Arabidopsis thaliana: one gene and its partner. The protein of the gene in region 1 interacts with the protein of each later gene in a biochemical or structural test. Each region holds a gene or a part of one and is shown on either strand. Other genes may lie near its edges.

Region 1 (4,966 bases):
GTTATGTGGCACTTGTTCAAGTATGTTTGTATAAACTGAAATCTGGGCTGATATGTGTAGGAGAAGAATCATGGAAGGACTTGGTTCAGAACCCAGATAAATGGTGGGACAATAGAATCGACAAGGTAGGATACCAATATCTTTTGCTCGGTTTTTCATCAATCTTTCCAAGAAACTGACCTATTGTCCCAATATCGTTTTTGTTTTGAAGAGAAATGCAAAAGCCCCTGATTTCAAGCACAAGGAGACAGGTGAAGCACTGTGGCTAAACGAGTCTCCTACTTGGGTATTACCGAAACTGCCACCAGTCAAGAAGAAACAAGAAAGTATTGTCTTTTAGCTTTAGAAACATTATCTCCATGTAAAGAGCTCCAAGTGTTTACAAAATTCATCATTTCTATTCAAAGTGGTCTTCAAAGTTCCGTTTGATTTTTGGTTAGTAGACTGAATACAGTAGCTACAAGTGTGGACGATTCCAAATGTCTCAGGTAAAGCAAGCATATTAGGTCTTAAAAGAACTTCTAGAAAGAGTGTTTCAATTTCACAAGCGCAACCAACAACGTTAACAAGCTCAACTTAAGAGAAAAAAGGACTAACTATTGTCTTACAAAGTAGAAAGATGACTAAATACTATTTACTGTAAAACTTAATAAAAGGCCTTTGACACTTCTCTCCTTATTCAGCTCAATTCACTGCAGCATGCTCTCTGTCTAGTACCTTCTTCCCTGTGGAAACTGAAACACAGGACCATCTCAGTAACAAATATGGGGAAAATGGGGTACTTTAATGCCTGATGAGGATATCAAAAAAGAAAGATGCAAGATTCATTATTGATCGAGATCTTACTTGGTCAGACCCGGGCTGGCCTGCTGGATTATTGTTGTTCCAGTCTCGATTCCTCTGATCTGCCTGTGGGAATGTCTGATTCTGCTCTTGTCCTGGTCCAGAATACCCCTGACCATAGCCAGGATTTCCAGCTCCAGGTGCAGGACCTAAGTTTCCAGCTCCAGATGCAGGACCAAAGTTTCCAGCTCCCTGTGGATTGTAATTCCTAGGTCCTCCTTGGTTGTAACCACCTTGTGGCCCTTGACTATAGTTCCCAGATCCACCTTGACCGTAACTGCTTTGTGTTCCTTGGTATGGAGGCACTGGAGATCCCTGGACTTGATTGTAACCTGCCTGATATGGAGGCACTGGAGATCCCTGGCCTTGATTGTAACCTGCCTGATATGGAGGTGGTGGAGATCTCGGGCCTTGGTTATAACCTCCTTGAAATGGTGGAGGCGCTTGAGTTCCCTGACCTTGTCCTGGAGTGGCATAGCCCTGTTGAGGACCATAGCTCCCTCCACCACCTTGCATTGGTGGTTGCTGACCATACTGTGTGTTTCTTTGGAAGTTTTGGGGACCACCACTTCCTCCTCCTGAACGGTCAAATCTAGGACGAGGTCTTGCTCTGCCACTCTGAATCGGTGGTGGCCTGTGTGTTATCACTCCATTCTCGTATTTATCTCCTGAAAACAAGAAACATAATTTTGTTGATAGAGTCCCAACAACAAATATCCAAAATAAGACCAGTTTGTAAAAAAAACCAGCTCACCTCCATACTCTTTGTTCTGGGGATCAATGTAGGAATCTGGCAAGATGAAAACCACTCCGGGTAGATCTGTTTACATATACCAATAACAGAGTCAATATCTGGTGAAAAAAGTTGAATTCAAAAGAAAACAAACATAAATGATTCGAACTATATACCCTTGAACTTTTCTGATTCTTGTTCAGTCATGATTGCTTGAAATCCTTGGTAAGTAGTTGTGCTACAAGCATACATCCTTTGCTTAGCCTCTTCCACGCTGACTCAACCATAAACACCAAAAATGAATCAATATAATCGTCTTAACCAATATCAATACCAGAAGAAGATACACAAAAATCAAAGCAGAGCTATATAACAGTGAATGGAACCCTAGCAATGGTAAAGTTCTCACATTTAAGTAACTTACTGAATGATTTTTGGACAATTTAGCCAAAAGCAACGAATCTAAGCAGTGACAAAAATTCATCTACTAACCTGATGCCAAGTCCTTGGGCGCAAGTTTCTTCATAAGCAGCGACCATTTCTTCTGGAGACTTAGGAGTTTCCTCTTTGGAGAAATCCATAGTGATAAGCCAGTGATTATAATCACATCCTTCGAACAACACAGTGTCTTCCGTGATCTCATCACCTTCTTTGTAAAGCTTGTACTGCCTCGTTGAAAACAGTCTCGCCGGTGCTCGAGTAGCTACTTCCGTCGAACGCCCTATAACGGATCTCTTTAACACCGCCGCCGACACAGAAGGGAAATCAGACGCTGGTGTGATCGAAGAGCTAATTGATCGGTTAACATAGGAAGTCGCAGTGAGTAAAGCTCGTCGGAGACGGTGAGATATCATAGCCATCGTTGCCAGAGAAATTATGAAGGAGTGGAGAGTATTCTGGAAAGCTTTGGAGAAATGAAATTAGGGTTTTTGTGTGGGTTTTACAATATCTAAATAAATAGTAAATTACTTTTTAAGTCCTTATTGTTTCAAATGTTTTTAGTTTCCGCCTAAAGTTTCAAATTTATCACTGGGCCAAAAAACTTAGGCCTTAGCTTTTTACTATACCGCTGTCGTTTTATAACTCTCTGTTTGTTTCTTCTTCTTCTCCCTCTCTATTTCCGGCGACTGTGAATTATGTGGTCGGCGACGTTATCTTTCCCTTCTTTTGTGGCTTCTTCATCTTCTCTACCTAATTACAGGAACCTTAGGTTTCCAAAGATTAAAGCTTCGCTCTTTAATTACCCTCTAGCGAGCAAAATCATGGTCAGAAGTAAGATTCAGATTATCTTTTGGTTTATATTTGAATTCGCTTCTAGCTGAGATTAGGACATGGTTCTGTTATTGTTCCAAAAGTAATTTATGATTCTGGTTTGATTGAAATTAGTTGATTTGAGTCAGGATTGTGACGGTAGTCATATGTGATAGCTCTAAGCTCTTGTAGCAATCATTAGTGAAGTTGAAGTTGGTTGTAACTTCAACTTGGTAATTACTCTACGGTTCTGATGTTTCTTCACTTTGAATTTGTAGATTTACCGTTTTCTACAAGTGAAGATTTTCTAAAGAGAGAGTTTTCAGCTTTTGGAGAGATAGCTGAAGGTATGTTTGCGGTTTCAATTTTACTCTGTTTTGTTGCTTTAAGGTTCAGTTTTATGGCATTGATATGTTCACTCTTATACTTCAAAACAGTTAAGCTTATCAAAGATGAGGCAATGAAGAGATCAAAAGGTTATGCTTTTATTCAATTCACGTCTCAAGATGATGCTTTTCTTGCCATAGAGACCATGGACCGTCGGGTAAAAGCTTCTTTCAATCACAAGTTTACATTTTTATGTCTTGAAATCAACCTAAATGTTTCCCATTCCTCTGTTGCAGATGTACAATGGCAGAATGATTTATATAGACATTGCGAAACCAGGTAAACGTGATTTCCAAGGACTGCCTAGGACTTCTGGTCCACCTGAGAAGTCGGATGAGCCAGAAGAAGCCGCTAATGATGAGGTTGCTGATTGCTGGTATTAGTTGTTAGTATCAAGCTCACCAAACTGTAACTGAACTTGTATAAATCAGATGTCAAATCATGCTTTCTTATTAGGAATATGATCAATGTGAAGAATGTTGTTTTACTGATAAGCAATTATTGACACGGTTCCAGTTACAGCTCTATCGGTTTCTACAACCACCATATTGTTGGAGACATTGGTCACTGCATTTGCAGGGATCTGTCCGGATTGAGCGAAAAACGAATGCTGGTAATGGTTTATCCGGTTAGGGAATACCAAAACAGGGGAAAAATCAGCGATCCATCGTGTTCCATTTGCGGAAACCATGGCCTTTCCGGTTGTTGATTTCAGCATCATCCCTTCTGCATTGTTTTGATCAATCACAACTTGATTAATATCATGAAACTCTCCTTCTAGCTTGACAATCGGGAAGTTGTTTTTGGCGGTACCGCTAAACATGTTGTTGACGATGTTTACACCGGAAATCTTCCCGTGTACCGATCTCAAGACGATGTTTGCATCTCCTAAGAACAAAGCATTGGTGACATGAACATGGACAGGGTCTTCTATGACTATACCTGTGTAATCAAGGTAACAATTATCTATCCTCGTTAAATGTGATTTCACTAGAATGCCAATGCCACCAAACCATGTAGCTTTATTGTAGCAATGCACACCCGTAACCATATTTGCACCACCATTCAAAGAGATACCGATACCAGCCGAGAAAATCACTACATCCGTAATGGCATTGTCGTTACTCGAGATATCGATTCCTGTCCCAGTAAATCCTCTTTCTTCTCTGTCTCCTCCTACCGTTGAATGTTGCCCCAAGAAGGAGTTTGAAATGTATGTCTCATGACCTCCTTGGACTTTAATCCCTTGCGTTGTGAAATGGAGGAAATAACAATTGGTTATACGGATACGAGCTGAGTCAATCACCAAAATACCACCTCCTCGGAATCTTGAGTCGAAGAGAACATCTTGGAAGGTCACATCCTCATAGAAGATCCCAGAGCTCTGGTCTTTCTGATCGGAGAAAGACTCCTCTGGCGACATTTTCATTGGTTTCTTAGCGTTTGATGCTACAAGCTCAACTAAATGCCTATCACCAGGAAACAGTTCTGATGCCCGGAAAGTCCCACCTTTCACCTGAATTACACCGAACAATGTCTTAAAAGACTCAAACCTTTTCATAAGTTTCTTAAGTCAAATTTTAAAATGAGGGACTAACCACAAGATTTCCGCCACCGGAGGAAGGGAACCTGAGAGGTTTTCCGATCATGTAACTGCCACCTTGGAGATCAATAACTAGACCACCTAAATCAGCGACACGTGGCAGCATCTCAAGTCCAGTTTGTAACTGAAAAGCATCAGTTAAAGCTTCA
Region 2 (5,068 bases), on another chromosome or scaffold:
ATGTATTATTTTTTTGAATTTAAATACATGTATTATTAAATGATGACCAATTTTGAACCAAAGTAAGTTATCAACAAAATAACCACATCATCTATATCTCACTTTATATAAGTTAAGAAATTTCATTTAGGTTTAGTAGTAAATCATCAAGAAGTTTAGAGCCTTTGCAGTTTGCAACAAAATATGGGTTTGAAAGTTACATTTTTGAAAAGTGATAATAATTAATCTACTATCTATTAATCAAAATGAGAATTATTTCTTTTGTATAGAAAGTAAGGAAATGTCAAATATGGCCGTTTATATATTAAGAAAAATAAATAAAAATCGTTTACTAAAAAAAAAATATATTAAGAAAAATAAATAAATTAGTGAATTCACTAATGGGCCTGAATACAAATTTTGGGCCCAAAGATCTCTAGTAACAGAAAATGCGTGATCGACCAAAGCGTCAACAAAATCCTGATTTCTGAGCTTTAAACCCTAACCCCTCTCTTCTCTCTTCTCCACGCCATTTCCAGAATTTTCAGGTACTTCCTCTCGCCATTTTCATTATAGATCGAATTCTTAGTTTAAGCGAGTAAAGCTTCAGATTCTTCGGCTTCAATTTTGTGATCTAAGTTTTTGTTTCGTTTCAGCTAATTTGCAGATTATCTTTGTCTCTTTTTCGTTGATCCAAGTTTTCCTTGGGTCTAATCTACAAACGCATTTCGTTTCTCTATTTATCTGTTTCTGCCTTGGATTTTGATTGGGTTCCAAATTTGCAGGTGTTCGTGAAAAGATGAATTTTAAGAATGTCAAAGTTCCCAAAGGTCCTGGTGGTGGTGTTATAGCTGCGGTGGTTATTGGGGGGCTCAGTCTTTACGGTGCTACGCACACTCTCTACAATGTCGATGGAGGTCATCGAGCCATTGTCTTTAACCGGCTTGTTGGTATCAAAGACAAGGTTAGTCCCTGCAAAAATTGGTTTCTTCTGAATCTGTATATTGACAATGAATCTTGTGGTTGTGACATCTAGCTGAAGTTAGGTTAGGCTTAGCATTACTAGTGAATCTTATGTTTGCGGCATATAGCTCACGTTAGGTTAGGCTTACCGTTAGTAGTGAATCTTGTGTTTGCCGCATCTAGCTTAAGTAAACAAGGTTGATTTCTTAGTCTAGTTTTGATAGTCGTTTACAAAAGTCATCTTGATGCGCCATTAATAGTATATCTTTGCTTGCTTGATTATGTAGGTCTACCCTGAGGGTACTCACCTTATGATTCCATGGTTCGAAAGGCCAATCATCTATGACGTTCGTGCAAAGCCTTATCTAGTTGAGAGCACATCTGGGAGCCGTGATCTCCAGATGGTATTCCGCTTCATTTCATCACTTCTAATACTAATGGGTATAATCAGGTCGTGTGGTTTTGTCGTGTGAACTACATGATAAGCTTATGTTGTGTGGTATTTAAACATTCAGGTTAAGATTGGGCTTCGGGTTCTCACCCGTCCTATGGCTGACCAATTACCAGAGGTATACCGGTCCCTTGGTGAGAATTACCGCGAGAGAGTCTTGCCTTCTATCATCCACGAGACCTTGAAAGCTGTGGTTGCTCAGTACAACGCAAGCCAACTTATTACTCAGAGAGAGGTTAGCCAACTGGCTGTAAATACATTTTATTGATTCCTCTTCAATGGTAAATTGATGTCCCTTTTAATGGATATATGTTTTTTTGGTGTTTTTCAAGTCGGTGAGTAGAGAAATCAGGAAAATCCTAACTCTAAGAGCCGCAAACTTCCACATTGCACTGGATGATGTGTCCATCACAGGCTTGACATTCGGAAAGGAGTTCACGGCAGCCATAGAAGGAAAGCAGGTCGCTGCTCAAGAGGCCGAACGGGCTAAGTTCATTGTCGAGAAAGCTGAACAGGACAAGAGAAGTGCTGTTATCCGCGCCGAGGTGTGAAAAGTGTTTCTCTCTTTTCTAGCATTTTAAAAACCGGAGATTGTGTTAAAGCTTGCTTTTTTTTTTCTTTTTTGTTGTGAACTATTTTAAAGCTTGCTAACTGATGTTTCTGCATGGGTTTATGTAGGGAGAAGCCAAGAGTGCTCAGCTCATTGGTCAAGCAATCGCAAACAACCAAGCGTTCTTAACACTGAGGAAGATCGAAGCAGCTAGAGAGATCGCACAGACCATCTCTAGGTCGGCGAACAAGGTTTACTTGAGCTCTAACGATCTGTTGCTTAACCTACAGGCTATGGACCTTGATGTGAAGCCGAAGAAGTAGAGAATGATATGATTAAACCACACCAGAGCTCTTCTTCCATAATCGTATTTTCAATTCACGGATTCTTAGACCAAAAGCTATGAGTTCTATCTTGTGAATTTCAGACACTATCGTGCGTTTGTAGTCTTTCTTTTGTGAGATCAAGAAGAAAAGAAAAGATTTATGTTTTTACAAGTTGTTTACATTTGGTAATAATGATGTTCACAAAGCTGGAAAATAGGCTGTGAAAAAGATCAAACAAATGGGCCTGAAAATGAGAATTGGGCTTTTGGCCTAAGTTTGGTGAACCCCGAGAGACACACATCTGGGTTTAACGACGTTAGGTCGGAGCCAATTTGATTCCACCACCACGAGCTTCCTAATCTAGCTTTAATGGCGTTTCATGGAATCAGAGAAGTTGAAAACTATTTTATACCTTTTCTACAGCGAGTCAAAAGCCGCAATGAATGGAAGAAGATCAATGCCTCCATCATCATACATGGATTATCACAAAGCAGCTTCATGGTCACTAAAATGGTGGATTTTTGTGATAAGATTGAAGATATGGATTATGCAACTCGTCTTTTTAACCAAGTATCGAATCCTAATGTCTTCTTATACAATTCTATAATTCGTGCTTATACTCACAATTCATTGTACTGCGATGTGATCAGAATCTACAAGCAACTGCTCAGGAAGAGCTTTGAGTTACCAGATCGGTTCACTTTCCCGTTTATGTTTAAATCTTGTGCGAGTCTTGGATCATGTTATTTAGGGAAGCAAGTTCATGGTCATCTCTGCAAATTCGGGCCTAGGTTCCATGTTGTGACTGAGAATGCATTGATTGATATGTACATGAAGTTTGATGATCTTGTTGATGCACATAAAGTGTTTGATGAAATGTATGAGAGAGATGTTATATCTTGGAATAGTTTGCTTTCTGGATATGCAAGGCTTGGGCAGATGAAGAAAGCAAAAGGCTTGTTTCATTTGATGCTAGATAAAACTATTGTATCTTGGACTGCGATGATCTCTGGGTATACTGGGATTGGTTGTTATGTAGAGGCTATGGATTTCTTCCGTGAAATGCAGTTAGCTGGTATTGAGCCTGATGAGATCAGTCTCATTTCTGTTTTACCGTCGTGTGCGCAGCTCGGATCTCTAGAGCTTGGGAAATGGATCCATCTATATGCAGAGAGAAGAGGGTTTCTGAAACAAACTGGTGTTTGCAATGCTCTTATTGAAATGTACTCGAAATGTGGTGTGATTAGTCAAGCTATCCAATTGTTTGGCCAAATGGAAGGGAAAGATGTTATATCATGGAGTACGATGATCTCTGGGTATGCATATCACGGGAACGCTCACGGAGCAATCGAAACATTCAATGAAATGCAGAGAGCGAAGGTGAAGCCTAACGGGATCACATTTCTTGGTCTTTTATCAGCTTGTTCACATGTTGGTATGTGGCAAGAAGGGTTGAGGTATTTTGATATGATGAGACAAGATTATCAAATAGAACCTAAGATCGAACACTATGGCTGTTTGATTGATGTTTTGGCAAGAGCAGGAAAACTAGAACGAGCTGTTGAAATAACAAAGACAATGCCGATGAAACCCGACTCGAAGATATGGGGTTCATTGTTGAGCTCTTGCAGAACACCAGGCAATCTTGATGTTGCTCTGGTTGCAATGGATCATCTTGTGGAGCTAGAGCCGGAGGATATGGGAAATTATGTTTTGCTTGCCAATATTTACGCAGATTTGGGAAAATGGGAGGATGTTTCGAGATTGAGAAAGATGATAAGGAACGAAAATATGAAGAAAACGCCAGGTGGTAGTTTGATAGAAGTGAACAACATTGTTCAGGAATTCGTTTCAGGAGATAACAGTAAACCTTTTTGGACTGAGATATCTATAGTGCTGCAGTTGTTTACTTCACATCAAGATCAGGATGTGATTACAAACAACAATGCTCTTGCATTTATAGGCATAGTTTAGAAGCGTTTGGATTATAGAAGAAGTAGCAAACTTATTAGGCGTCTTCAATCATACATATGTTACAAATCGATCAGAAATATACAACAGTATTTAATTATACATACGTTACAAATCGATCATAAAGGTCACAACAGTACTCATTCATACATATGCTACAAATCGATCAGAAAGGCCACAACAGTATTTAATCACAATATATAGGAGCTTTGATACTTCCTCTCGTATTCTACATTGTTTTGTCTGGACTGGGCTGATTTTAACTGGACTGGGCTGATTTTAACTCCATTCATCCGAGAAGTTTCTTCAATCCTGTCTTCTGCTCTGAGGTTAACGTTGTAGGGAACTTGATGTTAAATTTGATCCTCAAGTTGCCTTTCTTAGCCTGGTCTTTCTGCAACGGCATTCCTTCATTTGGAACCACTTCCACATACTCGGGATGGATCACAGTGTTGACTGGGATGGTCAGTCTCCGACCATCAAGTGTAGTCAGGTTGACGGTGTAGCCGGTAAAGGCCTCGAGAACTGAGATCTTCTGTGTGACTACGAGGTCATTACCCTCTCGAGTGAAAACCGGATGAGGCTTCTCATCTATGATGAAGACTAAATCCGCTGGTATCACACCGGGTTGCTCATTTCCTTTCTCCGAGAATGTGATCTTTGTGCCTGTCTTCCACCCCGGTTTCACATCAACAGTCAAAATCTCTTGTACCTGCGTCGTCTTGCTGCAAGTTTTTTTCAAAAGAAAACACATAAACTGGTCAGCATATGCGATTTTTGCCACTCAACAAGGTTATCAAGTATGATCAATGTTCTGCTTTCATTATG

What was found. Proteins that work in one complex are often made in the same cells at the same time.
Region 2: the proteins of MORF1 (region 1) and MEF21 form a complex in vitro, tested with the Arabidopsis thaliana proteins (one study listed by BioGRID).

The regions. Positions count from the first base shown.
Region 1 is NC_003075.7:10,843,650-10,848,615, forward strand, and holds MORF1 (multiple organellar RNA editing factor), read right to left. Parts: upstream 2,499-4,966; 5' UTR 2,437-2,498; coding exon 2,069-2,436; intron 1,851-2,068; coding exon 1,753-1,850; intron 1,664-1,752; coding exon 1,598-1,663; intron 1,512-1,597; coding exon 784-1,511; 3' UTR 753-783; downstream 1-752. Other genes in the region: PTAC9 (plastid transcriptionally active 9), read left to right, coding at 61-125, 212-340; AT4G20030 (RNA-binding (RRM/RBD/RNP motifs) family protein), read left to right, coding at 2,713-2,848, 3,106-3,174, 3,265-3,371, 3,451-3,597; AT4G20040 (Pectin lyase-like superfamily protein), read right to left, coding at 3,699-4,730, 4,813-4,966. UniProt on the Arabidopsis thaliana protein: Involved in organellar RNA editing. Required for the processing of numerous RNA editing sites in mitochondria. Binds to the mitochondrial MEF19 and MEF21 factors, two pentatricopeptide repeat-containing proteins involved in RNA editing.
Region 2 is NC_003071.7:8,841,522-8,846,589, forward strand, and holds MEF21 (mitochondrial editing factor 21), read left to right. Parts: upstream 1-2,629; 5' UTR 2,630-2,638; coding exon 2,639-4,243; downstream 4,244-5,068. Other genes in the region: PHB6 (prohibitin 6), read left to right, coding at 779-943, 1,230-1,346, 1,458-1,628, 1,726-1,938, 2,072-2,266; AT2G20550 (HSP40/DnaJ peptide-binding protein), read right to left, coding at 4,530-4,965.